4 linked regions of the Notamacropus eugenii genome follow. The main gene of each other region encodes a partner of the protein of the gene in region 4 in a complex. Links are inferred from orthologs where the notes say so. Each region holds a gene or a part of one and is shown on either strand. Other genes may lie near its edges.

What was found.
Region 1: the proteins of SLC3A2 (region 4) and SLC7A10 are in contact, whole or in part, in a cryo-EM structure (PDB 8WNT), measured with the Homo sapiens proteins. The link is inferred for Notamacropus eugenii from reciprocal best matches to the Homo sapiens genes SLC3A2 and SLC7A10. Residues at the interface, in NP_002385.3 of Homo sapiens: Phe161, Thr162, Gly163, Leu164, Lys166, Leu169, Leu170, Val172, Ala173, Trp178, Arg182, Leu186, Phe189, Trp190, Trp193, Met196, Leu197, Ala200, Ile203, Ile204, Ala207, Pro208, Arg209, Cys210, Arg211, Glu212, Leu213, Arg534; in NP_062823.1 of Homo sapiens: Leu147, Val150, Phe151, Asn153, Cys154, Pro157, Ala160, Val163, Leu164, Met166, Ala167, Met170, Leu171, Trp174, Ser352, Val359, Glu481, Thr484, His485, Trp486, Gln488, Glu489, Leu490, Phe492, Val493, Val494, Tyr495, Gln497.
Region 2: the proteins of SLC3A2 (region 4) and SLC7A8 are in contact, whole or in part, in a cryo-EM structure (PDB 7CMI), measured with the Homo sapiens proteins. The link is inferred for Notamacropus eugenii from reciprocal best matches to the Homo sapiens genes SLC3A2 and SLC7A8. Residues at the interface, in NP_002385.3 of Homo sapiens: Thr162, Gly163, Leu164, Ser165, Lys166, Glu167, Leu170, Ala173, Gly174, Trp178, Arg182, Leu185, Phe189, Trp190, Trp193, Met196, Leu197, Gly199, Ala200, Ile203, Ile204, Ala207, Arg209, Cys210, Arg211, Leu213, Lys532, Arg534, Asp558, Gln559; in NP_036376.2 of Homo sapiens: Leu147, Leu150, Phe151, Pro152, Thr153, Cys154, Phe155, Pro157, Ser159, Gly160, Leu163, Leu164, Ala166, Ile167, Leu170, Leu171, Trp174, Gln294, Ser352, Met356, Val359, Glu481, Thr484, Leu485, Gln488, Lys489, Met490, Cys491, Val492, Val493.
Region 3: the proteins of SLC3A2 (region 4) and SLC7A11 are in contact, whole or in part, in a cryo-EM structure (PDB 7P9V), measured with the Homo sapiens proteins. The link is inferred for Notamacropus eugenii from reciprocal best matches to the Homo sapiens genes SLC3A2 and SLC7A11. Residues at the interface, in NP_002385.3 of Homo sapiens: Glu167, Leu170, Ala173, Trp178, Thr181, Arg182, Phe189, Trp190, Trp193, Met196, Leu197, Gly199, Ala200, Ile203, Ile204, Ala207, Arg209, Cys210, Glu212, Leu213, Lys299, Arg534, Gln559; in NP_055146.1 of Homo sapiens: Leu151, Phe154, Phe155, Ile156, Gln157, Cys158, Glu159, Pro161, Leu163, Ala164, Leu167, Ile168, Ala170, Val171, Thr174, Val175, Val178, Gln217, Gln219, Val360, His373, Thr487, Gln489, Ile490, Ile491, Glu493, Val494, Val495.

The regions. Positions count from the first base shown.
Region 1 is NC_092872.1:454,207,862-454,215,337, reverse strand, and holds the start of SLC7A10 (asc-type amino acid transporter 1), read right to left. Parts: upstream 3,002-7,476; 5' UTR 2,924-3,001; coding exon 2,749-2,923; intron 1-2,748. UniProt on the Homo sapiens protein: Associates with SLC3A2/4F2hc to form a functional heterodimeric complex that translocates small neutral L- and D-amino acids across the plasma membrane. Preferentially mediates exchange transport, but can also operate via facilitated diffusion.
Region 2 is NC_092878.1:9,925,471-9,933,309, reverse strand, and holds the start of SLC7A8 (large neutral amino acids transporter small subunit 2), read right to left. Parts: upstream 3,019-7,839; 5' UTR 2,867-3,018; intron 2,594-2,866; exon of another isoform or gene 2,486-2,593; intron 2,206-2,485; coding exon 2,055-2,205; intron 1-2,054. UniProt on the Homo sapiens protein: Associates with SLC3A2 to form a functional heterodimeric complex that translocates small and large neutral amino acids with broad specificity and a stoichiometry of 1:1.
Region 3 is NC_092877.1:134,703,259-134,710,311, reverse strand, and holds the start of SLC7A11 (cystine/glutamate transporter), read left to right. Parts: upstream 1-4,051; 5' UTR 4,052-4,176; intron 4,177-4,611; 5' UTR 4,612-4,620; coding exon 4,621-4,897; intron 4,898-7,053. UniProt on the Homo sapiens protein: Heterodimer with SLC3A2, that functions as an antiporter by mediating the exchange of extracellular anionic L-cystine and intracellular L-glutamate across the cellular plasma membrane.
Region 4 is NC_092873.1:15,925,241-15,932,243, reverse strand, and holds the start of SLC3A2 (amino acid transporter heavy chain SLC3A2), read right to left. Parts: upstream 2,930-7,003; coding exon 2,821-2,929; intron 1-2,820. Other genes in the region: uncharacterized protein, read left to right, coding at 2,928-3,080, 3,250-3,534, 3,591-3,809, 4,004-4,234, 4,414-4,458, 4,984-5,024, 5,267-5,314, 5,520-5,529. UniProt on the Homo sapiens protein: Acts as a chaperone that facilitates biogenesis and trafficking of functional transporters heterodimers to the plasma membrane.

The sequences.
Region 1 (7,476 bases), on a different chromosome or scaffold from region 4:
TGTGTCACACATATATTTTCTCCCCAGAGAAGCAGTTGTTAAGCATTTACCATCACATCCCTGGTTTCATTCATCTGTCTCTTTCAGAGCACCAGGCACAGGGCCATGCCACCAGTAGGTACACAATAAATATGATATAGTTGATAGGACTGGTATGAGGAAAACAAAGCAGTTTGTGAACCTTAAAACACTGGGAAAATGTGAATTATTATTGTCTCATTTTCGTCTTTGTTCGGATAGAAATAATCTTAAGAAAGGTCACTATCCTGCTATTATTTCTATATGTTGAATGTTCTGATGACTTTTGCAGAGATGGATAAAGTGACTGCTTTTCATAATTTAAATTATAAGCTCATCTTCTGTAGGATCAAAAAGCATCTGTAGTACAACTCTAGCAGCAGACCAAATCACAGGAATAATATGTACTTGAGCTTAGTCTCACATGGTTTTCATTTCTTCCAATAGGCATTTACATTTTAAAAGCCTTTCTTTCTGTATAGTTTGAAGATAAGGAGTACTTGGTATGGTGACATCAATTAAACACATTGTTCTTAAATGTCTATGACTCAGAGTTAGCTTCAGGTATCTATAGGTGACAGTCTTGTCTGGGATAATGCTATGGTCCCTGTATATTTTATTTATTGAACTATTAAGGTCATTTGGAAGTCTGTATTATAGTATGGAGATTTATTGTCTATTAGGTTATGGATGATAGTGAGGCTCTGATGTATTCTGGCTACTAGGTTGTATCTTCCTAGGTATTCAGTAGGTGCTATATTTTTACAACCTGCAATGACATGTTACTCAATTTCTGCCATTTCCTCGCATGATTTGAAGTAATCAATAAGTCTGGGCTCCTTCCAGTCAACAAACATTTATTAAGCATCTACTGTGTGCTATAAGAACAATCCTTCTGCAATTTCTGGTGTCAAACATCTAGTCTTGAATCATCACCATCATCATCATCATCATCAATCACCCTCATCATCATCACCAGTATGGCATAGTGAATAGAGAGCTAGCTTCTAGGCCTAGAAGACCTTGCCCCTGCAAGTCATACCACTGACATTTTGGCCTGCCCTCTGAATCTTCAAGGTCAAATACTTCCCTTATTTGTGTGCTCTTCATTCATTCCCTCCTTTTCAGACCAAGCTCCTACTTCCTAATAGTACCTCTAACCTAGGACTTGCTACTTCTCGAAGCACTTTCTTAGTCACCATCCCACTTAATCTTCACAATTTTCTTTGAATTAGCTCTCCTAAACAGATATTGTTATCCCCACTTTACAGAGGAAGAAACTGAGGTTCAGACGGAGAAATGATTTGAAAGTCACTTAGCAAGTTAGTAGCAGAACTGGAACCCTAACCCAAATGTACTGTCCAAGGCTGCTTCTCCCACTGCCTCTTAATTGCCGCCCCTCCCTAGTCGCTATTCACTCTGGGGGGAAATAAAGGTAAGCCCAGGTGCTGAACCCCTGTAAGGAGAGGCAGCCTCTCTGCAAACTAAACACGCAGCCCCGCAGTCCAAAACTGTTCTCCTTCTCCCTTCTCCCGCAACAATGTTTTCAGCTCTCCCGAAGCTGTTGGCTACATCTCTTTTTCCCTCTTCGGTACATTGCCACAATTTCCTCTCTTCCTGCTCTAAAGTTTTTCGTGAAGTTTTCTCTCCTTTCCTATAAAGTTCCCACAACAAAAGTTCTACGCCACAATATAGTCTCCTCTTGTGACTATTTCTTGCTACAGGTTCTCTGCTCCCTGGGGATTCTGGTGCGATAGCATCACCCCATCCCATACCTGACCTCGACTTCTCCCCTTAAAAATCCTCTCCTTTGGGACATTCTCTGCAGCTACCAGTCCCTCTTCCGAAGCCTTGACCCTTCCTCCTCCCAGCATCTAGGCTCCCAAAGTAGCGCGAGGTCCTCCAGTCTTCCAGCACCCAGCTTCTGGAGAGGAAAGACCAGCTTGGCAAGCGAAACTTTGCGCACTAATTTAGGCGCTTAAGAGAAAAGAAAGTCCTTTTGCTCGGTGAGAGGAGCCTGGTCCCCTATGATTGGGGAGACGGAGGTATCCCGGAAGAGGAAGATCACTGTGCTGGGTTTGATGAGACTGGGTACTGGGGCAAGAGACTGGGGCCGGGGAGGCGCGCGCGCTCTATGTTCGGACTAGGGAGGTGGAAACTGGCGTTTGATTCTATACTTCGGGAGCTGGGGCACCCACGACTGGGAAACTGTTTTCAGACAGGGAGGACTCTGGCCAGGACAGGGTGGGACGTAGCCCTGAGACTCAGTATTTCATCTGCTGTGGCTGCTCCTGAGCTCCTCTCTTAGTGCCACGAGGGCAGATGGGGACATCGCCGATTCGCGCTATGCCGAGGGCCCTGCATCGAGGCCGTGGTCCCGGCGTGGGTGGATGTTGCCAGGAAGTGTTTGCTGAGGGGAGTGGGTGGGGGTGAGGCACGTGTCCCTGACCTCTCGGGACCAGTCCCATCCCATCCAGTCTCGTCCCTTCAAAGGAGGGTGTCCCGGGCGCGGGTCGAGCCGGGCGGGGGCGCTGCGTGCCGAGAGAGCGAACCCCAGAGCAGCTGGCACTCCAACAGGTTTGACTGCAGCCAACTTTGCTCAACTTGCTGGGGGCCGTGCTGCTCCCAGAGTGCCCAGTGCAGCCAGCTTGCCCGGGTCCCCAGTCCGACCCCAACAGCCTCCCTCCCCCCCTCCCTCTGTCCCAGCCCGGGATACCGGCCCCCGCTCACCAATGATGATGGCACAGGCGCTCACCAGCCCAATCTCCTTCTTCAGAGTCACCCTCTCTTCTACCCGAGCTGGGGCCGGAGCTGGGGTGGCGGCCAAGCCGTCCGCAGGAGAGCTTGGGCTCGGACTAGGGCCCCGGTCCCCGCCCCCGCTCGGCTGCTGCGTCTGTCCGGCCATGTCGCTGTCCCCGCGTCCCCTACTCAGTCTGCGCCCGGTCCGCGCCTCGCAGCCACGGGCAGCGCAGACCTGCAGGCGCATGCGCTGGCGCTCCGCCCGGGGTCCGGGCCCTATCCCCTGGAGGGCTGGAGGACGGGGGAGGGGCCCCAACGCGGACACTGACCGAGAGACCCTCCCTTAAAGCGAAATCTTCAACCCTGAGCCCCGGGGCTCCTTAAGATAGAGGATCAGAAGGAAAAACTTTGAGACTGAGCTGCCAAGGTCCTGGGAGAAGTCTGAAGGGCCCTTGGAACACCATTTTCATAGATCTGAATTTGGATATTCTGATGCCTGCAAGCAGTGAGTTAGACCTACCCAACCTCTTGAGAACTCTGTGCCCGACCCTGAGGAAATGGCACTTTTGATCCAGGGGATACAGCTTATTAGGGACATAAGCTAACCTTCATCCAGATGAGCCTCCAATACAGGAATCTATAATATGTTGTCTCAGCCCAATACCCTGGGAATGTTACTGATAATCTTCATCCTCCCCCAGATGAGAGGGGATTTTGGGTTGTCTCCTGAAGGGCAAAATGATGGAGGACTTTGAGCATCCCACATTTTCTCGTCTCCTGTTCCCCATAACCAATGAGCCAAAGGTTGGGGACAATTCAGTCTGAGGAGAGGTCTTAGTCCGTGATTAGAGTTAAGGGGTTAGTCTGTCATACCAGGATCAGCATCTAGTCTGGTACCAGGGTTCATCTCAGTCTAGGGTAAGGGTCATGGCTTCATTTGAAGTGGGACTTAAGTCTCAGTCAGATTTAGGGATTAGGCTATGGCCAGGGCCAAGGCTCAATGTGAAGTCAGTGTCTGGTCGGGGGATTTGAAATGAGTTCCAAAGAGAGTCGATTCTAAACATGTCTTCATTCAACAAGTATTTAATTGAAGCCCCGTTTGCCAAGATGGGTGTTTTGAGGAAGACAAAGGTGGTTAATAAGTTGGATTTAGTCACCAAACATATATTACACATACACTTCAACAGACATTCATTAAGAGTCTATTATGTGCAAGGTCTTGGCTACTACGATAGATAATTGATTTCGTTTACATAGCTTAGATAAAACAGGCTCTTGGGTCTCGGAACTCATAGTTTAGAAGGGTGATAAGATACAAAAATCCATAATGATAACAGAGCGCATGGAACGTGAATTAGAGAGGTAGAAATCAAAGGGCTCTGAGAGTCTGAGGGAAGAAACTGATACCAAGGAATTCAAGGAAGTGATTCAAGGAAGGCTTCAGGAAAGGGGCCTTTGGCAAGACCTGTAAAGAACAGGTAGGAATGCAAAAGGTGAAGAAGGAAAGGAAGGTACTTCTATATTTGGGAGAGGAGAAAGGAGTGAGCAAAGAGATAGAAGCAGATAGTATGATGCATTTAGCAGACAGAAAGACCAGTTTGGCCAAAGTGCAGAATGAGTTGAGAGATAGAGTTGGAAAAGTAGGTTGGAACAGTAAAATATAAACTTAGCGAGGGCAGAAACTCCTTCACTGTTGAAGCTAGGAGGCTCAGTGAATAGAGTGTTGGGCCTTGAATCAGGAAGATCTGAGTTTAAATCTGACCTCAGAAACTTATTATGTGATACTGGGCATCTCACTTAACCTCTGTTTGCCTCAGTTTCCTTATCTGTAAAATGAAGATTATAATAGCACTCATCTTGTTGTGAGGATCAAATGAGATAATTATAATATACTTAGGACAGTGCCTGGTACATAGTTAAGTGCTGTGTGAATATTAGCTATTATTATCTATATTTCTCATACAGTAAGTGATTATTAAATATTTCTTGGTTGATTGATCAGAGGCCTTGTTTGCCATAAAAAGGAAGTTGAATAGTGGCATTGCAGATAGAAATAGTGAAGTCAGAAGGGTGAGTTGGTTTAGGGAAAAGATAGTAAACTTGGTTTGGGATATGTTGAATTGGGTGGGGACAACTAGATAGACATGACATATGTAGCTAAAGGTGATAAACTGGATCTCAGAAGGAGGTCACAGTTTTCAATACATTCCTGGGAGTTATAGTATGCCTGGGGGAGGGGGAGTATGAGAATGCCAAGGTAGATAGTACCGGCTGGAAAGAGAAGAGGGCTAAACTAAAGACAGACCATGGAGAACATTCATAATAGAGGTTAGGAAGTGGATGAAAAGCAATAGTGATAGAACTGGTTAGAGAGGAAGAAGGAAGAGAGGTTTAGTTGCTCTGAAACCAAGAAAAGGGAATACCCAGGAAGAAGGAATGGTGAACTATGCCAAAAGCTTCATAGACATAAAGGGTGGCAAAATTGGGATCCAAGAAGATCTCAACAGACTAGAATAATGGACTGAATATAATTAGATCAGTTTACATTTGGAATCTTGGATGGATCTTTTGCTGTGGTCCTCTTTCAATGCCTCTTTGGGGATATGGAGGCAACCTTACTTTCTTGAAGTGTGTCAGACAAGCACAAACACTAGAAGGGCCTACTAAGCTGAAAAGAAATTTGACACAGACAATGGAATACATATCTCTTATGTAAGGAATATCTCATTCATTTATGAGAAGCTTAGCAGGTTGTCCATTTGGCACTGAATTTTGGCCATAATAATTAATGAAGATCATCTACCAAGGGGCAGAAGTGTTTTGTGATCAGTGTTTACCTAGAGAGTAGTCACAGTGACAAAATCATAAATGGATCTGAGTTCTTTCTGACGTGGGCACCTCTTTCTCAGGAGTATGTTCCATCCCCAAGTTTTCATGTTATGCCTATTGGTCTATTTTTTAATTCAGATTTTACATTGAGGATTCAACCATTGTACTGGAGACCTTCCTTTGCTAATTTTAATATCTTAGGGATTCCAGTGGAGCACTTGAGCTAGCCATCTATTAGATCTCACTCTTGCTACCTGTTTAGCTCACCTCCTTGTCTGGATATACGTGTTCGTGGTATCTCTTAGGTCACATTTAGCATACAAGTCATCATTATTAAAGCAGCTAGGTGGTATAGTGGATAGAGTGCCATTATTATCATGCTACCCTTGCTCACATCCTTTATCTCTCTTCATTGCTCTTTGGGTAGCCTGCAGTTGTGATTCCTCTGAGGTAATGGTATTTCAGAGAGCATAAAATTAATAGGCTTAAATGTAAAGTACTACCTGGGTTAAAAAAAATTGACTGTACAAATACAGCATGGGAAGAAAGTTTAACGAGGTAACAATTTGAGTAAAAGGAACCTGGGAGTTTTGATGGACTGCAAGGTTATTATAAGTCATCAGTATTAACCTAGCAACTGAAAAAGCAAACATCATTTTAGGTTTCATTAATAGACGCTTAACGTCCAGAACAAAGGAGGTGAAAGTCTTGCTGTACCTTGGACAGACCACACTCAGAACATTGTGTCTGGTTCTGAAAGCTAAATTTTGTGAAGAACGTTGACACCCTGGGGGGCAGACTTAAGAGCAGTGAGTTATGGAGAAGGAAGCCTGATAATCAGAGGTGCCCCAAAGTGGAAAGGATTGTCCCTCTTCTCAAATCCTTTTTTCATCTTCTTCTAATTGTAATCTTTCTAATCCAAGATGTTTTCAGTATCCTCTCTCCTGGCACCTTTGGTTTTCACAACAGCCACAGGAAAAGTGCTAAATTCCTGTCATGCCATTCAAGGTCCTCCACAATCTGATGTCACTCTACCTTTCTTATGTTCCACAAACTGATATATTTACAAGCCTTGAAACAGGCAGAGCTTATTACTGCCCCTGCAACTCCTTTTCCTTTCTTTCTCTCCAAAGTCTCTCCTTGGAGTCTTCCTTAATTATTCCAAACTTTCTGTCTATTCTATTCTCCAGGAAAGATATAATGCTTTTATCTAACTTTTAATTTTTGTCCACTAACAAAAATTTATGCCTCCTACAAATTCCATTGGGAAAAAAGGAGAAACAAAAACCCTGTAATAAATATGCATATATCAAAATAAATTCCCACATTGGCCATGTCTAAAAACTGTGTGGCTCATTTTGCACCCTGAGGCTATCACCACTCTTTCAGGAAGTGGATAGCTTGTTTCATCATTAATCCTCAGAAATTGTGGCTAGTCATTGCAATGGAGACATAACTTTTTCCAGAATTCTTTTTATAATTCTTTTCCTGAGAAACATGGGGTGAGCACAGTCATAAGATCCTATGATTTAGAACTGAAAGGGATCTTAGATATAATCAAGTCTTACTTCTTCATTCCTCCCCTTCCCCAAAGGAAATCATGGCCCCTAAAGGGAAAGGGACTTGCCCAAGGTCAGTAAATAGCTGAGAGCAGGGCACTTTAATAGGACTGATTCTAAACCCGGTCCTTTTTCCTCTGATGCCATTTGACAGTGTCTCTACTAGGTCAGATTGGAAGCTCCCAGAGGTCAGGCTCTGAGAAAGAGAAAGCTGATGGACTGAATGAGCCTCAAAGATCTCTACAAACTAAAATAGTCTGACTCTAAGATGCCACTTAACACTAGTTAACACTCCTCACTAGTTCAAAGACTCAACTTACAATTTTGTTTA
Region 2 (7,839 bases), on a different chromosome or scaffold from region 4:
TCAACTCTATGAAAAAAGTACTATTTTTGACAACTTAGCATGGAAAGAGATCTCTCAGCCCAGGCCAAAATACTAGAATGAATATGGCTACTGAGGTGCAGCTTCTGTTGTCTAACCCTCAGGGACCGGTGATCTGTGTTAGGCTTATAGATTTAACATTGAAAGGGACCAGCCTTCTATTTCTAAAAACCAGAAAACAAATCTAGAGATTAAATTGGCCAAGGTCAAAATCTGAACCCAAGCTCTCAGGTTCCAAATTCAGCTCTTTTTTGCATTGTACCACAATGCCACCAGAGAAGCAGTCTCGCAACCAAGCAGTCATCTTAAATAGCAAGCAATCATCACTTTAGCTCATATTTGAACACAATAGCATCCATAAGGGATCTGACTCCTGAGAAAAATAACTTACTCATCATCTCTTGGAACAACAAACACATAAGCTCTTTTGTTACTACAGAACCTCAGAGCTGTTATTTTTGTAACTGGAATGACATTTTCTGGTGCCTGGTTTGGGTTCAAGATTAAACTGTTCTCACACTCAAAAAAGTTCATGGACCAATCCTTGTAGGAACAGCTGAGATAGTATTCATGGCAGCTAAGCATCTCCACTTCCTCAGATTCTTTAAAAGAGAAATAGTTTGTAGACATTCTATATTTAATTAGGATTACAACTCACTGTAGCATACAGGAATCATGTGCGTGTATTGGGGTGCTAGAAATGGGGGGTAAGAATGTATGTGTATATGAGCCTTAATCAGAAACCTGCCTAAAAGGGAATAAAAACATTTAATCCTCTCAGTCATACTGGTGAAAGAGGTGACAGGCTTCAGGCTATTTATAGCCCTTACTGTTAGCGTGTGGTGGTACCTACATGGTACTTTGGCCAAGATCATTTGGGGAGAGATACAAACTAGGCAAATAAAAGTCAGTAAGAGAATGGGATGTTTTTTACTATAATTTTTTTACATTAGGCTTTGGAAAAATTGTAGAAGCCAGACAAGTCCCACCCCACCCCCAATCCACTCAATCCTCTCCCTCCAGCAGAGGTCATAAGAATATGAAGATGAAATGAGCTCCCCAGGGTCCCAATTTAGACGATAACAAGGACCACAGATGATCAAAGCCGGAGAAAAGGTGAGAGAAGTTTATCTGAATTGGCCGGTGGGGGGAAGAATTGTTCCTGGCCAGGCCTTTTCATTTCTCAGAGTCCAAAAGAAATCCCTCTCTGGGGTGTCTGGAATGTGATAATCTTGTTCCTGGGCACCAGAATACAATAAGTTGTAAAACTGGTGTTCAAAAGGAGAAGCGGACAAGCAAATATTGTAATCACAACACAACTTTTCCTAAGTGAGTTAAAACAACACCAATTGTGCCCAAAAGCCAAAGTCATAGGAACTTCCCCAGGAAAGTCGAGCAAGTTGCTATAATCCATCATCTCAATGCTTCGCTAGGAAGAGTGTTGCCTAGAAACTGGACCGAGGCGCTATCGACCACTCCGAGAGATGATGCCACACACCCATGGGTCTGCTACCAGGCACTTTTTCAGGGTGACCCAAGGATTAATGGGGGGCCATAGGCTTCCATAAAATACTTTTATCTGTCTGTTCTTCCCAGCTCCATTTTCAAGTCATTGCTGCTTCTCTGAGAAAGTCTGACACAGTCTCTTCTCTGAAAGAAGTGGGGTAGGTGCACTCGTTAGGACAGACAGCAGAATTGCCCAAAGCTCCAGCCTGGGTCCTGATGTTTCTACGTGCCCACCCCCTCACACAGAGGTTGCAGGCACAAAGATAAACGATGGGGTCATTCATCTTTGGCAGCATTTGGTCAAGTTTTATTGGCTTCTTGGCTTTAAATGAATGGTAACCTAATTTGTGCATCCCTGCAGCTCAACCAGCAGGGAAAAGGCGTCAGTGAATTTTAGGTGCTTTACCAATTGTTTCGATGACAGAAGAATTCTTTAGTTGCTACATGATTCCATAAGGAGCAAGAGGAACCGGGAGGGAGAAATAGAAGCCCATTTAACTCCCACAGAAAGGAAAACCAGTCAGACTCACCTACAATGATGCCGCAAGCACTGACCAACCCAATCTCTTTCTTCAGGGCTACTCCTCCCCCTCCAGAACCAGCATCTGGACCAGGATCAGATTCGCTCCTGCTGCTGGGGCTCTTTTCAGCGTTGTTTCGGTGCCTGGCCTTTTCTTCCATCTTTTTTCGGAAAAAAAAAAATCAACCACTGAAATTTCCTTCCTCTCTGCCTACTTGTCTATTTCTATTTCTTCCTAAGCCTTTCAAATGAAAGAAAATGTCCTTTCCCTAAAATAATGACCCTTCGTCCTGGTCCTTTAATAAAGGCACATGCAGGTAAAAAATAAAATCTCAAGTTTATATTAGTATAATTAAGACACTTTCCCGTCGCTCTAGTTTGCCACCAAAGAAAGTGGCTTAAAAAGGAAAAATAGAGGTGTGTACAAAAATAGAACTGTACCAGCTACTCCCTGTAGAAATCACAGGAGTGAGGGGATGTGGATCTCCTGAACCAGGGCTGAATTCTGCTCAGTTTACACAGGCAGCTGCTTCATTCAGATGCACCAAAGACAGTTTGGATTTCCTTCAGCTCTCTCCTCAGACCAAAATCCAAACTGGCTTTTAGCTCAGCTCGGTTGGCTGTTTTTGTTTGTTTTTTGTTAGAAGGGTAAGACTATTTTTTTCATTGACAATCTTAGAAAAAAGACAATCCTCAGGTGCTTTGTCTTTCAGAAAAACAAACTGCAGACACAGCCGGTTTGCTCTAGATTCTGTTGCACAGGGTGTGGATTTTCCTTTCCTTTCCTCTCTCCTCCCCTTCCCTTCCCTTCCCTTCTCTTGCCTTCAGATTTTGCCCAGTGTTCTTATTTATTCTTAGAGGCTACTCTCTTGTCTTCCTGTCCTAGGTCTGGTTTTCTTTTCTGCTATCTATCTTAGAGCTTGGAGCTCTCCATCTCTCTCCGTAGCCAAAGGAACAGTAGTTTCTTCACGTGTGAAAGCCCTTAGCTCCAGCTGGGGTTTTATTTCCTGAACTCACAGTAAGCTCCACCTCCTCTCCCTTTTCTCTCCATCCTCAGCAGCTTTCTCCTCCCTCTTCTTCGATTTCAGTATTAGCACACAAACCCAAAAGACCTCCAAGGAACACGGGATCGGCAGTTTTCCTCCCTTCCATCTCCCTCCTTTGGAACAAATTGCATATAAATCCCTCTCCTCACAAATGTTCAGGGAGATTCATTAACTGGTATAGCATTACATGTCATGTAACATTTGTGAGCTTTATAAATAAGGGAACAGTTGTGGAGACCGTTTTAACTCCCATTAGAAATAAACTGGACTCATGACAAAGTTTTATAAGAATTAAGCATAGATTCTTTGGGGGTACTAGGAGCAAGGAACCCTGGGATGACTCCAAGTATCTGAAGGAATGGGAGACATGATTTGAGGATATGGAAGGAAAATAAAAGAAGAATTATGATTAATAAAAAGGGGGGCACATTTCCTGTTAGAGATTAACAAATGGAGGGGTTTGTGGTTTTGCTTTTAAAATTATTGTTTTCTTTTAAAATCTGAGGGGAGTGGGGAGGGAGATGAGGGGGAGAGGAAGGGGATGACTGGCTCACAATTGGAAACTTTTACAAGTAGGACCAAATGAGACACTGAGAATGCAAAACTGTTAGACTATGGGCTAAGCTTGGACTCCAGTCATAGGCAAAGAGTGGAACAAATCTGACCCAATGGCACCTTTTACAACTCCATTAAAAAAATGTGACTGGACTGTTTGAATGGAGAAAAAGAAATATTTTACTGATCCAGAGACCAGGTCATGGCTAATAAATTACCTTAATAATGACTAATTCCCCCAGTCCTTCCCCATCCCCCCACTCCCACCCCACCTTAGCCCCAGGTATTTCAGGTTGCATTTTTTTCCTGGAATTCTTTGTATTTCATCTCAGTGGAGAGGTAAAGCATTTTAAAAGTCCTGAAATACTTCAGAAGATTGCATTATAAAACATAAAGTTAATTCCAGCCTGCCTACGTGTTCAGTATACAATGCTTCTGTTTTATGGGGAGGAGAGGTCTAAATGCCCAAGTTCCTTGAGGTTACTGATTACAGAAATCTGCTCAAGAATAACTCCCTTTTTTTGAAAAACAAAAAACCAAACCCCAAACCAAACATATATGCACACAAACGTAATTGAATCTTGAGATTATCAAAGAAAGGTTTGAACCCTAAGATTGGGCTCATGGTAACTTTGCATAGGAGTTAAAAGTCCCTGAGTTTTCAGTCCTTGAAGCTCCTGGCTCACTCATTAAGAGGTTTCAAAGGTTATGGCCCTCAGCCCCTTCCTCTACCTGGAATTTGATAGAGACAAAGCAAACTGAAAGCCTCAGCAAAAAGAGGTGAAAGGAGAAATTCAGCAAAACAGTCAGGGAATGGGGAAAGTCAGAAAAGGAGTCATTGGAAAAGAAACTTTCATTTTGGGGGAGGGGGATGCTGCCTTTGGCATTTGACATTAGGTTTAGGTTATAATTCACAATTAAAATTCTTTTAGTTATTATTAATCAGTCTGGTGATTTCTGTTAGATTCTGTCATTGAGAGGCTCAAAAAAAGTAACTTTTTTTTATTCTTGCAAGTATGGCTTTTTTTCTGTAACTTATTAATGACTAAAAGGATATAAATTTAACATGAGTCTTACCAGATTAATACAAAACCTCTCCAACACAAGAGATAACTAGACTGAGAAAGCTTAGCTCCTAGTTAGTAGACCCTGGAGGGACTTATGGGGCAAGGCAACTTTCTGGGTACAATCATATTAGAAGTCCAGAACTATAGAATTGCTACAAATTATTATTTGTGTTTATTTAGTCCCTAGCTTACTAGTGTGTATACACACACACACACACACACACACACACACACACACACACACACACACATCTAGATCTATATCTCTATCAAACATAGCAAGTTAATTTGTGCTAAACGCCTTATAATTTTTGTCTCATTTGTTCCTCACAACAACCGTGGAAGATAAGATAGCAACTATTGCTATCCCCATTTGACAGATGAGGAAACTGAGATAAATGGGGGTTAAGTGACTTATTAGTGTCTGAGACTGGATTTGAACACAGATCTTCCAGATCCCAGTGTTCAGTGTACTCTGGCACCACCTAGCTTATGTGAAAAGCAGCTTATGAACAACTAGCTATTTCCCTCACTTTACCTAATTCAGCATTTATCCAGAGCCTATTAATATGCCAGGCACTATGCTAGGCATTGGGAATAAGGCAAAAATTAAATAGTTGCTAATATCAAGGAGAATCCATTCTACTGGTTTTCCTGACTTACTTTAAGTCCCAATTAAAATTCTGCCTTGTACAGGAATTCTTCCCTAATTCCCTTAATTCCAATCCTTCCCCACTTTTAGCTATCTTCCAGTTATCATGTATACAGTTTGCTTTGTATTTTTGTCTCCCTCACTAGAGTATAAGCTCTATGCAGAGACATGTAAACAAGATGTCTACATATGTAATAATCTGCTGGGTAAGAGAAGGGGGTCAAGAAAGACAAAACTTCTTGTAGGAGTTAGCACTAGGGCTGAATGAAGGAAAAGGCTGTTAGGAATTAGAAGAGGTAGAAGTGGGGAGGGAGAACTTTTCTGACAAGGGGGGAGAGCTTGTACAAAGGCATAAAAGAAGCCTGTGTCCTATAGGAAACAGGTCAATCAGGCCAGAAAAGAGGGAATGTGAGGGGGAGTGGAATTCATATGGAAAGATAAGTCTGATTATGAAGGATTGTAAGTGTTCAGAGAGAAGTTTGCATTTTATCCTAGGGCCACTGAAATTTCTTGAGCAGGAGAGGTGACATTAATCAGATCTGAGCTTTAGGTAATATAAATTTGGCAGCTGTGTGGAGGATGGGTTGTAGAAATAAATTGGAATAGGGAGATCTATTAGGAGACTCTGGAAATAGCTCAGGTGAGAGATAGTGAGGGTCTGAACCCAGGTGATAGTAGTGTAAGTGGAGAAAAAAGGGACATATGGGAGAGATAATGCAGAAGGAAAATCATTAATATTTTCAACTGATTAGATATTCAATGAATACATGAAGCGCAGGGTACTTTGTAAAATGAACACCCACTAGAATGAGGGATAGTGGAAAGAGCTCTGGTTTTGGAAATTGGAAGATCTAAGTTTGACTCCTCCTGCTTTGGGCCTCAGTTTGCATAAAATGAGGTTATTGGATTAGATGACTGATCTATTTGTTGTACGTTTGTGAAACCTGGATTGTAGACAGTGAAACAGAATCCTTTCCATCTGAATTGTCTTAAGAAGATTCTAAAGATCATCTCACAGGATAAGATAACAGGCACTGAGGTCCTTTCTTGAACTAAACTGCGAAGCATTCGAACTCTACGTCATAGAGCCAACTCTGATGGGCTGGCCATGTTGTTCAAAACATATGCTTGCCAAAAAGACTATTTTATGGAGAACTCACACAAGGCAAGCATTCATATGGTGTTCAGAAGAAGCCATAAAAGGACACTCCCAAGGTCTTTCTTAACTTTGATATTGATTATGACATGGGAGATACTGGCACAGGACATCTCAGTATGGCGTGCCCACATCAGAAAAGGTGCTGGGCCCTATGAGCAAAGCAGAATGGAAGTAGCTCAAAAGAAATGCAAGATGAGCAAATTTAGAGAATTCACCCCAAATGTTCACATGGACTATTTGTGCCCAACCTGTGGTCGAACATTTCGAGCTCATATTGGCCTGAACAGCCACAGTTGGACACACTGAAATTTGATTCTAGCACAGTGATGTCATTTTGATCTTCGACAAGGAAGGACAACAACCAGCCAGTTCTAAACCTTAACTACTTATCTCTGAAGGAATTTGGGGAATTTGGTCTGATCTGTGCATAAGTATTCTTAAAGTTAGGCCAGAAATGTATTCTCCAACATCCTTCTTAATGTGTTTTGAAACTCAAAAGGGATCTACCAATGACAATTCCCACTTTCCACACCAATACCCCATTCTCCATTTTAAATATATTACATACACACACATATGTATATATGTGTGTGTGTATATATGCATATATACACATATAATAATATAAAATATGATAGAATATATAGAATATGTCCTATAGTATATCTCGGTTGCCAACATCTGAATGGGCTTTTAATATTGCTTACTTATGTTAGGAGCAAATTGTTCCCCTTTAACTTGAGAAAGGTAGAAGGGAAGGTGAAATAATTACAAAGGCTGATTTAGTGGCAGGTACTCCCTTTCCAGAGAAAGGCTGAGAGTGGGTGACACCTACTGTTCCAATACAGACATGACATGGTGACGTGTTATTTCAATTAGTCATTTTCTATTTAGTCGTTTTCTGTCATGACTGACTCTTCGTGACCCCATTTGAGATTTTCTTGGCAAAGATATTGCAAATGGTTTGCTGTTTATTTCTCCAACTCATTTTCCAGATGAGGAAACTGAGGCAAACAGGGTTAAGTGACTTGTCCAGGGCCACGATGCTAGTGACTGTCTGAGGCTGAATTTGAACTCAGGTTTTCCCGACTGTAGGCTTGGTGCTCTATCCACTGTGCCACCTAGCTGCCTGTGGTTAATAATGGTTGTTATTAAAGCAAAGGCTTGACTATAGAGATCATCCACTTGTCTTTTTCAGTGAACTCTTTACTTACTCATCATCTATATTAGGTGAGGAAAATAGAAGGGTGAAATTTAAGATTACAGCTATTATTGCATCAGAATTGGGAACTCCTAGGTGAAGAAACTCCATCTAC
Region 3 (7,053 bases), on a different chromosome or scaffold from region 4:
TCTATTACTCCCATTAACCTGTGGAATTGTGCCACATAGTGCAGTCTGGCAGAAGAAGATGAGGCAGCTTTCCATTATACTTGTAGGTGAAACTTTCCATATGTGTTGTCTCCCCCATTACAATGTGAGCTCCTTGAAAGTAGGGACTGTATTACGTTACTATTCATATGTCCAGCACTTGGCATAGTGCTTTTCACATAGTGAGTTCTTCGTAAGGTCTTTTTTCATTCATTCATTCATTCGTTCGTTCGTTCGTTCGTTAGTTCATTCATCCATCCATCCATCCATCCATTCACTAGATATGAGGGTGCCAGTTTCCAGACTACACCAGGAAGGAAGTACATTTACATAGGATAGAGCCCCAATCTCTATACCCTAATTATGGTTGCTCAGTTTCCACACCAGGATTCTTCCTTTTCTGTCAATTGATAAACATTTGTTGATCCCCTCTTACATACCAGGCACTGTGTTAAGTGCATGAAACCTGGAGGAGTAACACTTATAGTCTGATTTTGTAGGTGGGTGGAAGGAGTCATGGTAGACGACTGCCATTAGAATCTTTGTCTAAAGTTCTGTTTTAGTGGACATTCATTTGTCCTCACTTGCCCATTTTCCTCTTGTATAGCTCTAATTGTTGAGAAGTTGGGTTTGTTTGTTCTTTGCTGATATCAAGCCTAAATTACCTCTTTGCAGCATTTATCCAACATTCTTGATTCTTGCATCTGAGATGCAGAGATTTCCAAGCCTTAGAGTTTTAAAAAAATGCCAGGTTTTGCTGTTGTATTTTTGACGTTGATTGATGGTTGATGGTCCATATATTAATGACGAATTAATCTTCTCAAAGGAATTTAGGCCAGAAGAGTTTGCAAAGTATGGAAGCAATGAAAACCTGAACTAATTCCTGGGCTACGTAAGGAAAACAGAGGCTTTTCCTTATAGAGAAAAGGGAATGGGGTTTAGACTGAGATGATCTGCATTTGAATACTGACTCTGGTGCTGAATGTTCAACACCTTGGCTACTATCTCTCTCTGAAACTCAGTTTCCACATCTGTAATGTGGAGTCAACTAGGTGGAACAGTGGATAGAGCTCTGACTCTGGACTCAGGAAGATCTGAGTTCAAAATCTGACCTCAAACACTTGCTAGTTGTGACCCTGGGCAAGTCACTTAACTTCTGCCTGCCTCAGTTTCCTTATCTGTAAAATGAGGATAATCATAGCATCTACCTTCCAGGGTTATTGTGAGGATCAGATGAAAGAATCATTGTAAAGGGCTTAGCAACAGTGCCTGGAACATACAGAGCAAGTACTTTATAAACGTTGTTATCATTATTATTAAAGGAGGGGTTTGGACAACATACTCTATATGAAAAAGATCTTCCTAAAATTCAGAACTATCTAAAAATGTGATAGGTCACCTCAAGAGTGGTGGGTTCTCCATCACTGGAGGCCTTCAAGAAGAAGCTGAATGATAACATTTTAGGTATGATAAAGAGGAAATTCTTGTACTGGTATGGGTTGACCAGATGAGATCCATTTCAATTCTTACATTGACTGGTGAATAGTATATTGGGCCTGGACTCTGAAAGACTAGGGTTTGAATCCTGCTTGTGGCACTTAGTAACTGGATTACCTTGGGCAAGTCAGTCCCCCTCTTGGAAACTCAGTTTCCCCTTTAGTGAAATGGGGCTAATGATACTCATAGTTCTGAGCTCAACTGGTTATTGCAAGATCCAAAGGAAATAATTTCTGTAAGACTTTGGTGTTTTTGCAAATCTTTTAAAAGTGTTTATGAAAAGTTATATAGTCATTTGTTGTTACTGAGATAGTCCCCTGCAGTTCTAAGTAATCTGAGCCTATGGAACTCTCTTGGGCATCTCTATGTAACACTCCAGAGGATAACTGGACAGAAGAGGGGCTGAGTGTTCTAGGACTATTGCTTGGCTTTCTCCAGCCGTCTCACTTCTCCCCTGACCTTCACACCTGTCTGACAGCTCCTCAAGCTGGTTAAGTGATAAGAGCAGAGGGATGATAATAACTTCTTCCCATTCTGGAATCCCAAACCACAGGTAACAGCAGCCAATCACTGACCTACAAGCTTGGCACCAGTTTCAGAGGCTGTTTGTTGGTAGAGGGAGATAGAGGGCTTGAAAGACCTTGCCACTTTTTAATGTTTCTTTCTGTTGAAATTCAGGGTGCCGGGGACCCCAAAATACCGATACACTGGGTCCTGTCGAATGAATTCAACTTAAGCTTTCTTTCAGTCAAAGTAAAATAAAATTTATTGAAGATTCACCATATTAGGTTGACTGTTAAGGAGTCTAACCATTTGTAATGCTGTATACAATCTGAGCTAGATTGATCCTGATTTAGATTGAATCTGAGTGCCTTCATGGAGGCAAGATGGAGCCTATATACAGAAAGACTATGGGAGGAATCTGGAGATGTCTAGTAGTCTGGGGGTTCCAGGGATGGTCCTGATTGGGGTGGTCAGCCTGGAATGTCTAGAGGTATGATCTTGATCGGAATGACCAGAATAGAGGTCAAATCTAGGCAGGATCTTGATGGGAGTGACCAGTACCCTGGGGTGACTAAACATTAAATCTAGAGGATCTTGATGGGAGTACAAAGTAGCCTGGAGAATAGGATTTTGATAGGATAAAGGTGGAGAGTAAAACAGAGATCTGGGCATGGTGATAATGAAAAACTTATGGTCCTCAGAGAATGCCAGATCAAATATGAGGAATTCAAGGAGCCCTCGGGGTGAGGCCCTCCAGGGTCCCCTAGACAAATGGGACCAAAACTCCTCTGGGCCAAGAGACAAAGATCTCAGCTTGGGCTTGTACCCTGTCATTTCCGTGTGAATTTTTTTTTTTTAAATCAAAGCAAATTCTGAAAATCTGATTATAACTTTCTCCACCCTGACCTCCTCACAATACACTTAGTAGTTGTGGGCAAGTTGGTACCCCTCTTGGAAAGTTTTCTCATCTGTGAAATGGGACTGAAAATACTTGTAGTTCTGATCTCAGAGGAGTATTGCAAAACCCAAAAGGATACAATGGATATAGAGAATTCCAAACACCTTCCACTAAGGAAAGTCTACAACTGAGCAGTGAGTTGATTTGCTTAAGGTAATAACATTTTATGCAGCAGCCTAAACTTGAACCTAAGTCTCTTTTCCCCCCTCAATTTTCTTATCTGTATAATGAGATGGAGAAGGAAATGGCAAGCCACTCCAAGGTCTTTTCCAAGAAAACCCCAAATAGGATCGGGAAGATTCTGACAGGACTGAAATGACTGAACAACCACAAAGCAGTAGTCTTTGCAGCCTCTACAACTAACTTCAGGGAACAAAAATGCCCTGAGGGATGTCAATTTCAGCAAAAATAATTCTCTTTAGGAAATCACCAAGTAACTTGGAAATCTGAGAATGATTCTCGTTGGGGTAACTGTGGTTTTTAAACGTAGTCATATTCTCGTGGATCACACCTTCGCAAGGCGAAAATGTAAGTGTATTGTCAGAGCAAAATGAAAAAATCCCTCCCTTCCCTCAGTATGAGCCACAATCCCCTTCAAGAAGAAGAAGGTGCGGAAAAACTCTCTCTCTCCCTCTCTCCCTCTCACTCTCTCTCCCTCTCTCCCTCTCTCTCTCTGTCTCTCTCTCTCCCCACCTACAAGATAGATTTGCTTATGTTGCTAGGCAACCAAAAGTTTTCTTTTCTTTCTTTTTTTTTTTTTTAAGGAAGTAAAAAAAAGGTGTGCATGGGGGGTCGCACTTTGGGTGACTAATGCAGCTTGATGTTCCCTTCAACTTTTGGCTGCTTCATGAAAGAGGTGTGGGTGCGTGCGTGTGCATGGGGAAGGGAGGGGTGGCGATCCCAGATAAAAATGAAGTAGATGTTTCCTGTTTGGTGTTTCATTTTCTTTCTGTTTGAGGAGCCTTGGGGCCTCCCTGAGTGTTACTCTCCACCTCTGGGAGGGTCTCTGTGGGTTTCCTCCCTCTGGATTGGCTCCTGAGGCCTTTTAAGTGAAGGCTTTGTTCTCTGCAAAGCGCAGGTCAGTTGGGCTACACGCTGCCACTGTTTGGGGAAAGGAGAAAAAAAAGAGCTGAGTAATGCTGAAGCCTTCTCCTGTGGCTGATGCAAACCTGGAGAATTTGCATCATCACTGAGCTGGAGTGAGTTGGTGTGACAGAAGCTTAAATACGGGCGCTGGAGGGAGCTGAGCTAGGTTCTAATGACAGGGCAGTAGCAGCAGCAGCGAGGGGCAGAACGGAAGGGTCCGGGCTGCCATGGGAAAGGCACAGGTGCTCTGGAGGAGGCATTAGGGAGGCGGGAAGCGTAAAACACACCTTTTGAAGGTCCATACCTGTGAACCCTAGAGCAGCGTGAAAGGCTACCAGGACAGGAAAACAGTTCGAACTCAGTCTGATCAGGGAGACCAGACCTTGTTTTCAAAGTTTTTCTCCTCCTGCTTCTCGCCTTTCTCGTTCTCCTGGTCCTCCTCTTCCTCCTCATCTTTCTTCTTTTCCTCTCCTTCCTTCTTCTCGTCTTTCTCTCTTTTTCTGTATTTTTTGCTTTTTGCTTTTTATTTTTCCCCTTGAGTTTGGCAGAATCCCACTATGGTCAAGAAGCCAGTGATGCCCTCCATTTCCAATGGAGACTACCTCCAGGGGGATGCTCAAGGTCACTTGACCTCCAGGGGCAGCAAAGAGGCCCCCGAGCAGGCTAAGATGGTGCTGAAGAAAAAAATCACGCTGCTGAGGGGCATCTCCATCATCATTGGCACTATCATCGGGGCTGGCATCTTCATCTCCCCCAAAGGAGTTCTCCAAAACACGGGCACCGTAGGCATGTCTCTGATCGTCTGGACGGTCTGTGGGCTCGTGTCTCTGTTTGGTGAGTTTATGTTTAAAATTGGAGTCCCTTGAGGGTATGTGTGTGGGAGGCTGCTACTGGGCATGCAGCTTGGCATGCTGATTTGGGAGGTGAGTGGCTGGTCTGCTAGTAGAATTAGAGTAGAAGTAGAGGAGAGTGGTAATGAGGAGAAATCATTCAAGTCATCTAGGAGTTTCTGGATGACTTGAATAGTCCCCTCTTTTCCTTCCCCAACCTCCTTTATTTCCCTTTCCTGATGAAGAGAAAATCTTTTCATTTCTTTATAGTGATGGAAATAAGCACTCATTTTTATTGCCTATAAAAAGGCAAGCACTGGACATTTGTGCTTGTCTGGGCAATGCTAGGGCTGAGCCCCTGAAGCCTCTGTGAATTGTAAAATCTGGTTGGCCTAGTTACATTCAGTGCTGAGTTGTCCAACAGTTTTCCTGACTTCTTATTGGTGAAACAAATGGTAAGGCAGTGCTTTTCCTTAAAACACTAACACAGACACACAAACAGACATACACACAGACACACACCCCACCTTCATGGGCCTGACTTTTCCGTGTGAGCCACTGAACTGTAGAAAGATATGGCAGGACATACCATGAGGAATTCTGCCCTTGCATCAGTCAAGGATATGATTAGTATGTTATAACTTTTCATATCCAACCTCCTCCCACCTCAATTATCTTCTGCTTAAATATTGAGCTTGGTTGGGTGCGGGTCTAAGCAGTTTATTCAGTCATTTTTTTCACTTGTGCCAGTTTGTTGACGTCCTAAAGTTTGATAAGATGTCCTCAGAGAAACTTAATGAACCTGGAAAAGAAGCTTCCTCCCCCAATTCAGATGGCTGCATTAAAAGCCTATTTAAAGAATAATGGACAACACCAAAAGATACCTACTCAAGACTCAAACAAAAAAAAGTATCATTCAGAGTTTTTGTTAAATGTCAGGCCCCTACAGTTATCTGTGGCCTAAATGATGAGCTAGGTTGGATGGGAGTCTAAGGGGTATACCCAAGCCTCATTTTCTTCCCCTGTGTCCATCTGTTGTTCCAAAGAGTTTGGTGACAAGATTACCTTAGTGAAACTCAATGAAATTGTTCCAAATTTTAATTAAGTGTCAGATCCATACAGTGTCATCTGTATTGGTCCAGTACATGAGGCAGTACCAGTTAATCATCTGACCAGGAATAGAAAGCTAAATCTACCCATTTTAAGCAAGGTAAGTCCTAAATAAGCTTGTTTAAGGATCAAGGAGAGTATATTCTGATTCCGGAAGATTCAGAAGAAAGATCACTTGGAAGTAGAGTCAGAAAACATGGCTCCTAGTACTACGCATGTGGTCTTGGGGAAGCTACTTGACTTCCTTTGGGCCTCAGTTTTCCTAATCTTTAAAAGAAGGGAGTTAGACTAGATCAGGGGGTGGGGAACCTGTGGCCTTGGACCACCTATCGATTTCTAGGTCCTTTGGTGGCCAGCCTTTTGACTGAGTCTAAGTTTTACAGTTTTACTAAAGGGATTTATTCTGTAAAGTTTGGATTCAGTCCAAGGGCCACATTTGAGGACCTAGAGGGCCACATGTGGCCTGGAGGTCTCAGGTTTCCCACCCCTGCACTAGATGATCTCTAAGGTCCCTTCTAGCTTTGACTTTGATCCTGTGAAGGTTCTGACCTTACCACTACAAAGCAGTTATTCTGTCTTAGAATAAACGCTAAGTCAATTTTCTTAGGGTTTTCCTGACTCATTCATATTTTTTCTGGACTCTCAAATATCTCATTCCAATGATTTTTCTATTCAACTTCAGAACTCGAGTTACATTATAAGGAAATTTACATAGATGTAAAACCAGTTGACTGGATCCATAGCTCTGCCATTAAACCAAGGAGTGGAGTCTTCTAGGACAAATTTATAAAGAGTTAGGTTTCCTTTCTCTTCCTTGCTTACTTCTTCCTACCAGCTAGTCTTTTACCTTACCATTAGTTTCATTTATTTTTCTTTTGGTCTGGAACTGTGACTTTTGCATTGTAAGCAGTTTTTGCTGGGGAAACTCTACCAATTCAAATCAGCCACTTGTGATCTCATGGCTTTGTCTGAGATGCTGAAGTTAAGTGACTTGACCATGGTCACAGGGTCACCACAGCAGTATATTAGAGGAAGAATTTCAGGCCAGGT
Region 4 (7,003 bases):
CTAGGTGCCCTAAAGTCTCCCCTTACCACAAAAATTCCCCTTATCCTGCTGGGGGGATCATAAAATTCTTTGTTCCTACCCCTCATCCTGGGAATAAGATTTCCTTATCTTCCTTATATTGTGTCATTCATAGCCCTTACCCATGTTTTTATCTTGCAAGACTTACCCAAGATCTCCAACCTCCCACCAGGAAACCCTAAAATCACCCTATATAAGTCTGGTCCTTTTCCTATTTCACTGCCTTTGTTTAGCTCCTTGTTAAATCTCAGGCCCGCTGCTTTTGTGTCAGTAAAGCTCCCAATGGCTACAGAGAAGGTCTAAGTGAATCCACATTTTGAACCAGCTCTCCCACCTGTCTCTTCAACACTAGGATGTGTTGACCAATCACCTAACTCTCTGAGTGTTTCCTCACCTGTAAAATGGGGATGACTGCAGCACTGGCTTGTCCAGGAGCAGGGCCTGTTTGCCTTGGGGGTCTCTCTAAGCCGAGGCAGGCAGGCCACAGCCAGTCCCTGTTCTCTGAGGGCTCATGTTCCAATGGGAAAAGCCAATCCATTAAAGGGAGGGTAAGGGACCAGCGAGGCTGGGGGTCAAGTCTGGAGGATCAAAGGCCAGAGGAGACAGAAGCATGACTAGCCTGGGCCATCCAAATGGAGGCAGCTTTGTTACCAGACTGCAGGAGATGGGAGGGAGCTGTTTCTAGTGTAGGCTCCTTCCCTAACCCTCCCATGTAACCTCTGGCAAGGCCATTCATCTGTATGGAGATGACAGTTAAACCCTGGGGAGCTCTCAAGCTTTTGGGCCCTTCTTGGAGTGATGAGAGACATGGGCCACATGCCAGCTCAGCCATGCCATCTCAGCCTGGCCTCCCTGCGTAGCCATCTCCCCTCTTTCTCACCCTACATGACTGGTCCAAAACCAGTCCAAAAAGGAACACGCCAAGGGCGTCCTGGAGCCAGGTCAACGGGGCAGAAAGAGTCAGGTGTTAAATTGTTGAAGTGAGCATTCACCTGCTCAGAAATCACCAAACTACCAAGCGAAGCTTGACTTACTGTTTTGTTGGTTGTTAAGACCAGTGATGGAGTACCTTCATGGCCCCAAGGCAGAAGGTTCCCCACTCCTAGTCTACACTTAGAACAAAGATGATTAAATTTACAAGTGTGCCTGGAGTACTTTTTTCCCCAAGAGTCAGGTTTTTAAACATTTCCCAGCATCCCCTTGCATCGATCCCACACCACAAGGGACTACACACTATGACTGTAAAATCAAGGAGTTGGACAAGATCCCTGACATCTTTTCTAGTTCTAGATCCTATAATAACCTGCAGTCAAAAGAAAAGCTCAGCAGATTCAGAGAAGGCACTCTCTCTAAATGTATTAAGTACTTTCCATGGGGCTGGTGTCACCTGCTTAAAGTGGGGGAGACAAAACCCAAAACATAGCAGAAGGGGGGCCAGTGTCCCATCAAGAGGACACAGAGGGAAATAGAAAGGGAGGAAAGGGCTTTAAATGCCACAAAGAAGGTTTTATGTTTGATCTTGGAGGCAAGAGGGAGCCACTAGAGTTTACTGAGAGTAGGGAAGAAGACATGGTCTGACCTGTGCTTTAGGAAAATCACTTTTGATCAAAGGATGGATGGGGGTGGGGAGAAACATGAGGCAGGGAGACTGAAGACTGGCTATTTAAATAGTCCAGGGGAGAGGTGACCAGGGCCTAAACTAGGGTGGCCACTATATCAGAAGGGAACATGTTGAGCTGGAGATGCCCAGAAGGCAGCTGGCAATGAAGGAGCAGAGCTCCAGAGAGAAATGAGAGCTGGAAGTATTGATCCAGGAATCATCTGCAAACAGATGGCAAGTGAACCCATCAGAGCTACGGACAACAGGAAGAAAAACACAAAATGAGAAAAGGCCCCTTGGGGAGTAGGAATGACTGTGCTGATGATCCAACAGGAGACTAAAGAGAAGCTGACTCAACAGGCCCAGGGCTAACAAGTATGGTGAAAGATGGCCGGGGGTGGAGAAAACTGGGATGGACAGCGTGTCCAAGGCTGAAGAGTATCTTGGAGGTCCAACAGAAATGAAAAAAGGCCTTTTGATTTCCTTTCAGGCAATGATACCTGAGAGAAGTTATTAATAACCAATAATTTGGGGAGATTGAGTTTCCCCCCTTTTTCTAGGTCGTTAGTCATAATGAGACTGTTCTTAGTAGTCTAGTTCAGACCCAGTACGGGGGAAGCCATTGTACTGTACTCGGTGTGGATGGGGGTAAATTCTTTGCAGATTGCTTAAGGCTAGGGGTTCGAAGTAAATAACCCAAAGTTCATTTGAATTGCAATGCTCATTTTCTCATGGTTAGCCAATGAAAGCTGATGGGAGTGCTGTCCGTGTAAGTGGTGAGCCCACCAACATGATGGTCTTTGGTCTAAGAAAGATGGCCAAGTGACCGCGCTTTTATGAAAATGCTGGCCTTAGTCCCAAAGTTATTAAATCACCCAGAAAGTACGTCTGACCAGCCATGGAGAGAGGAGCAAGTGCAGACGGCTCCAAGGGAAGAGGTTTCCTGGAGGAGGAGGAAACGAGGAAGGAGAGCATTCCCGAGGACGGCCACTGAAAATTCATGGAGCCAGGAGGACAGCCGGGGAGGCCTGGGCAAAGGCCCGGAGGGTGGAGTGTGGACAGTGCGTGGCGGGGCAGGGGGAGGGGTCCGAGTGCTTGGGGGACCGGGCGGCCCGGCTCGAACCCCGGCTCCAAGGAGAGGGCCCGACCTCTCTCCGGCACCATCGAGGGCTGCCTCGCGCCCCCCGCCGGGGCCCAAGTACCTGAGCCACGGGCGCTGGAGTCCCGGTCCCCGAGGCCCAGGAAGCGCACGACCGCCCGCGGCCGGGGGCGGCCGAACTTGAGCGGCGCGGTCGAAGAGCGCCGATCCATGGCCGCCGTCCGCCGGGAGTACCGGCCACCGCCGAGACCTCCTGCGCAGGTCCGGCGGGCCCGCGAGGCCGGGCGGGCGCGGAGGCCGGCCGAGCGAAGCGCGTGCGCACACACGTGTGCGTGCGCCCCGCCCCACCCCGGCCCCAGCGGCGTAGGCGGCTTCGGCGCGCGCCTCCGGCCACCCCCTTCCTTTGTTCTCTCCGGGAGCCCCGAGCGCTCACGCGGAGAAAAGGCCGCTGCGCATGCGCCTCCCCTTCCCGCTCCCTCCCCCCCTCCCTTTCCTCCACCATCCCATGAGCCCTTGCGAGCCCGTATTTAAGCCCCTCTCCGCGTCTCTCTCGTCCTCTTTTGTCGCCGCCGGTGAGTTCGGTGTCTCTGACGACCGGGTGGGTGGAGAGGGGAGCGAGAGCTTATTTTCACATTTATTTCGCTCGGCGCCCCTGGCTTCCCGCTTCCTAACGACTTCGTCGGCCAAGCCAGCGGCCCCCTTTGGGGGGGGTTCCCGGGCCGCGGCTGCCCCCCCCCCCCCCCGAGCTCCTGGCGCGCATGCGCGCACCCCCGGGCCGGGGGCAGGGAAGCTGCCGTGGCCGAGCGGTCGACGGCACGTAATCATTAGGCGCCCCCGGCGCCGGGGCCTGCCCTGGAGGCGCGTCCACGCTAGTGCCCCGGGGGGGGGGGGGCAGGAGGCCCCCTCGGTGATGATCCCTTTCACAGACCTGTGCTGACGCTCTGTGAGGACGAGAATCGTTCTGAGAAGGAGCCCGTCCCCCAGAGCGCACACCCCGAGGGTGCGGGCCCCCCCCAACCCGCCTCTCCGCCTCCTCCCGCAGGGCCGCCGTGGCTGGGAGCCGCGTCCGCGGGGCCGCCGCCCGACGCCGGGGTGAGTGGGGGGCGCTGGCCCCGGGGGGGGCTCCGGGCGCCCGCGTGCAGCTACGAGGATGACCCGGACTTGGAATTCTCTCTTTCTGATGGCTCGGTGGAGAAAGCTGCCGTCCTGAGTAGCCTGGCCCCGGGGGGCGGGGGGGCACCCCCTCCGAGAGGCCGGCCTTGCAGCAGCCGCCCCTGTCCTTGCAGGTGGCGCCCCGCCCGTGCCCGGCGCCCCGGCCTTGCAGGTGGCACCCCGCCCGTGCCCGGCGCCCCGGCCTTGCAGGTGGCACCCCGCCCGTGCCCGGCACCCCGTCCTTGCAGGTGGCACCCCGCCCGTGCCCAGCGCCCCGGCCTTGCAGCAGCCGCCCCGCCCGTGCCCGGCGCCCCGGCCGTGCCCGGCGCCCCGGCCTTCCGCGTGGCCCGCTGATGCCGCTCCCGGTGAGTCCCCCCCGAGCCCTCCCGCGGGGAGTGGAGGGCCGTGTCCGCCGTGATGAATGATCCATGACAAGCATATGGCTGAAGTCCTTGATGTCGTTCAGTGTTCTGAGAGGGGGCGGCCCTTTGTGAGGAGGGAGTCGAGCGCGGGGCCCGACGGTGAACGCGCTCTGTTTCTCTAGGCTGGCTTCCCTGCTCGGACCGGACCGGACCGGAACGTGCTGCAGGTAATGACGCGAGAGGGAGCTGGGGCGGGGTGTCCTCTCTGGCTTCCTCGGGGCAGCTCTGCAGGTTTCTGGGAAGCCCGAAGGGAGGGCACCTCCCCGCGCCTTCCGCCGCCCCCTGTCAGATGATTGGAATTTGACCTCCTGATTGTTCTGTGAGGACCCGCCGTTCTTATAGCATGTTAGAGTTCTGATGGCAGCTCTTGTTGAGAAGAGTTCCCGCCCCAGCCTTGGTCCCTCTGACCCGCCCGCTTCCCTCCCTCTCTCCCAGATCTGCTTGATCCGTGCTACCTTCACATTTCTCCTTAAGAAGTAAGTGGCCCCTCCTGGTTCTGCCGTTCCCTTGCATGCCTGTGAGCCCTTGGTTTGAATTGATGATGTGGGTGTGAGCCCATTATCTAATGGACGACATGTGTCTTATGGCATTTTCGAGTCACCAAAGCCCTGATCAACCGTAGGGGGCTGCAGAGTTCCCTTTGCTAGCCGTGTTTAAGGCATTGCCTAACCTGCTCGTGTTTCATCTGTCAGGGCAATGCCGAGCTGTGCTGCACCAGGCTGAGAAGACCGTGGTAAGTAATCTTCGTGATTCGTTAGCTTTGGGATCGCCCTGGTACCGATGAGGAGAGCAAACACACGTCTTAACCCCAGTCCTGGCCCCAGAGCCAGCAATGGTGAACCCACTGGGGCTAGCTGGGGGAGAGGAGGATGACTTGTTCAGAAAGAACTGTCTGAGGTACGCACAGGGCCCTTCCAGAGGCTTGTGGATCAGCAGGAAGGCAACTTGGTTAATCCCTCAACGTTTGTGTTTTAGGCTTCACAGCTTTCCTGTTTCCATCAGCTGGCCCCTCCTCAAGAAAAGGTTAGTTGACTACTTGACCACCAGATTTTATGAATCATTTTGGCCTTTGGGGAAATGGCCTGGGGTACAGTTTCAGTGATGAGTCTAACTAGCTCACTATGATTTGTATAAAATGAAAAGGCTTGAACATCTGAGAAACCGTACCAAGGGGAAGCGAGGTCCTACGGGCAGGGACTGGGATTTGACTGACTCGTTCTCTCCGTAGGTCCTTCTAAGAACTGCCTGAAGGAGACTGCCTAGGGCAGGGCAGGCTGGAAGGCCATTTATTGCGATGTAAGTATTTGTTTGGACCCATTGGGGCCGGGTGATCCCTGGGTAATAAGTTCTTTGGTAGGCCTCCTGACATGATGCGTTCATAGAATCTCGTTCGTCTGAACCCCCCTGTTGAGATGTGCATATCTGACCAGGAAAGATCCTCTGGGGCAGCCCTGGTCTTGGAGAGGGACCCGCGCAAACTAACTTGGCTTTTTCCAAAGTTGTAGGCTCTGGCCACCTGGCATGGGGACAGGACAGCACTGTCTGCATGGAAGTCTAATCCATAGCAGCAGGTGAGCTTCCCCAACCAACCACAGTTCACCCTCCCTCTCCTGCCCCTGGGGCCTGCTCCCTCCAGTGATGAAATGAATACCGCCCCAGGCTGATTGATTCCAGTGACTGATAGGTTGTTCTGAGTAATGAGCAGTCCCCTGGGACACCTGGCATCATCTTGAAACACCTAAAGACAGGGCTTTGGGCTGGTTTTTTCACTCGTGTTATTCTTCCACAGGCTGGCTCTCCCTGGTTCTCTCCTGGCAAAGGAACCTTAGGTGAGTTTGGGGGAGGATAAAGATGGAAGACATTTTTAAAATACAGAATAAACTCAATAAGAGGCCCGGCCTCATCACTGTAACTGAAGGGTGTTTAAATGGTATGGGATCTGGGGAGTGATGAATGAGGATCCCAGTGAAGAAGACACCACCTGTCTTACTCCTTGACCTTGCCCCAGAACCTGCAAAGGTTGAACCCACTGGGGCTGGCTGGGAGGCAGGAGGAGATTCTGTTCCAGAGAGAACTGTCTGAGGGATCTTTAACTTAACCTCTTCTGTATGCTTTGTCTCCTGTTTGGAGGGAACCCTCCAAAGTGACCACCTCTTTTTCTTGAAGGAACTGGAATATGAGAAGATCATTTTCTGTACTGCCAGAACACCCTGCATGTGTGGCATTGAATCATTGTGAAAAAGAGCTGGACGTTACCTTGTTTTTTGCTAATAAAATTTTATTTCTCTGAGTTTGTTCCATCATTCTGTTTGGTCACCTGGGGGTGGGACAAATGGGGGTGTACGATTATCTTTAAGCTTGATGAGTTCAGCAGCCCTGGTGTGGGCAATTTTGAGGGGTCTTTTGTCATAATCATGTCCTGGCTAAGTCCCACTCTTCCTCCCATTCTTTAAATACTCATTTGCCCATGGAAAACCTAGATTATCGTTGAGCCTGGTGTGTTCCAATGAGAAATCTGTCATTATCCCAAGAGCACTTAAGGCCAGGCCAATGCTTGCTACATTGAGCTGGCTGGGCTGGGGCCAGGGGAGGAGCCTTGGGGCGGGGTGATTGGGGGTCCTCTGAGGTCTTGTGGAAGGACGCTTGGCTGGGCACTGGCTGCCTGAGCTTTGGAGATTAAGGCACCTCCTCCCCTTGCTGGCCCCAACATTC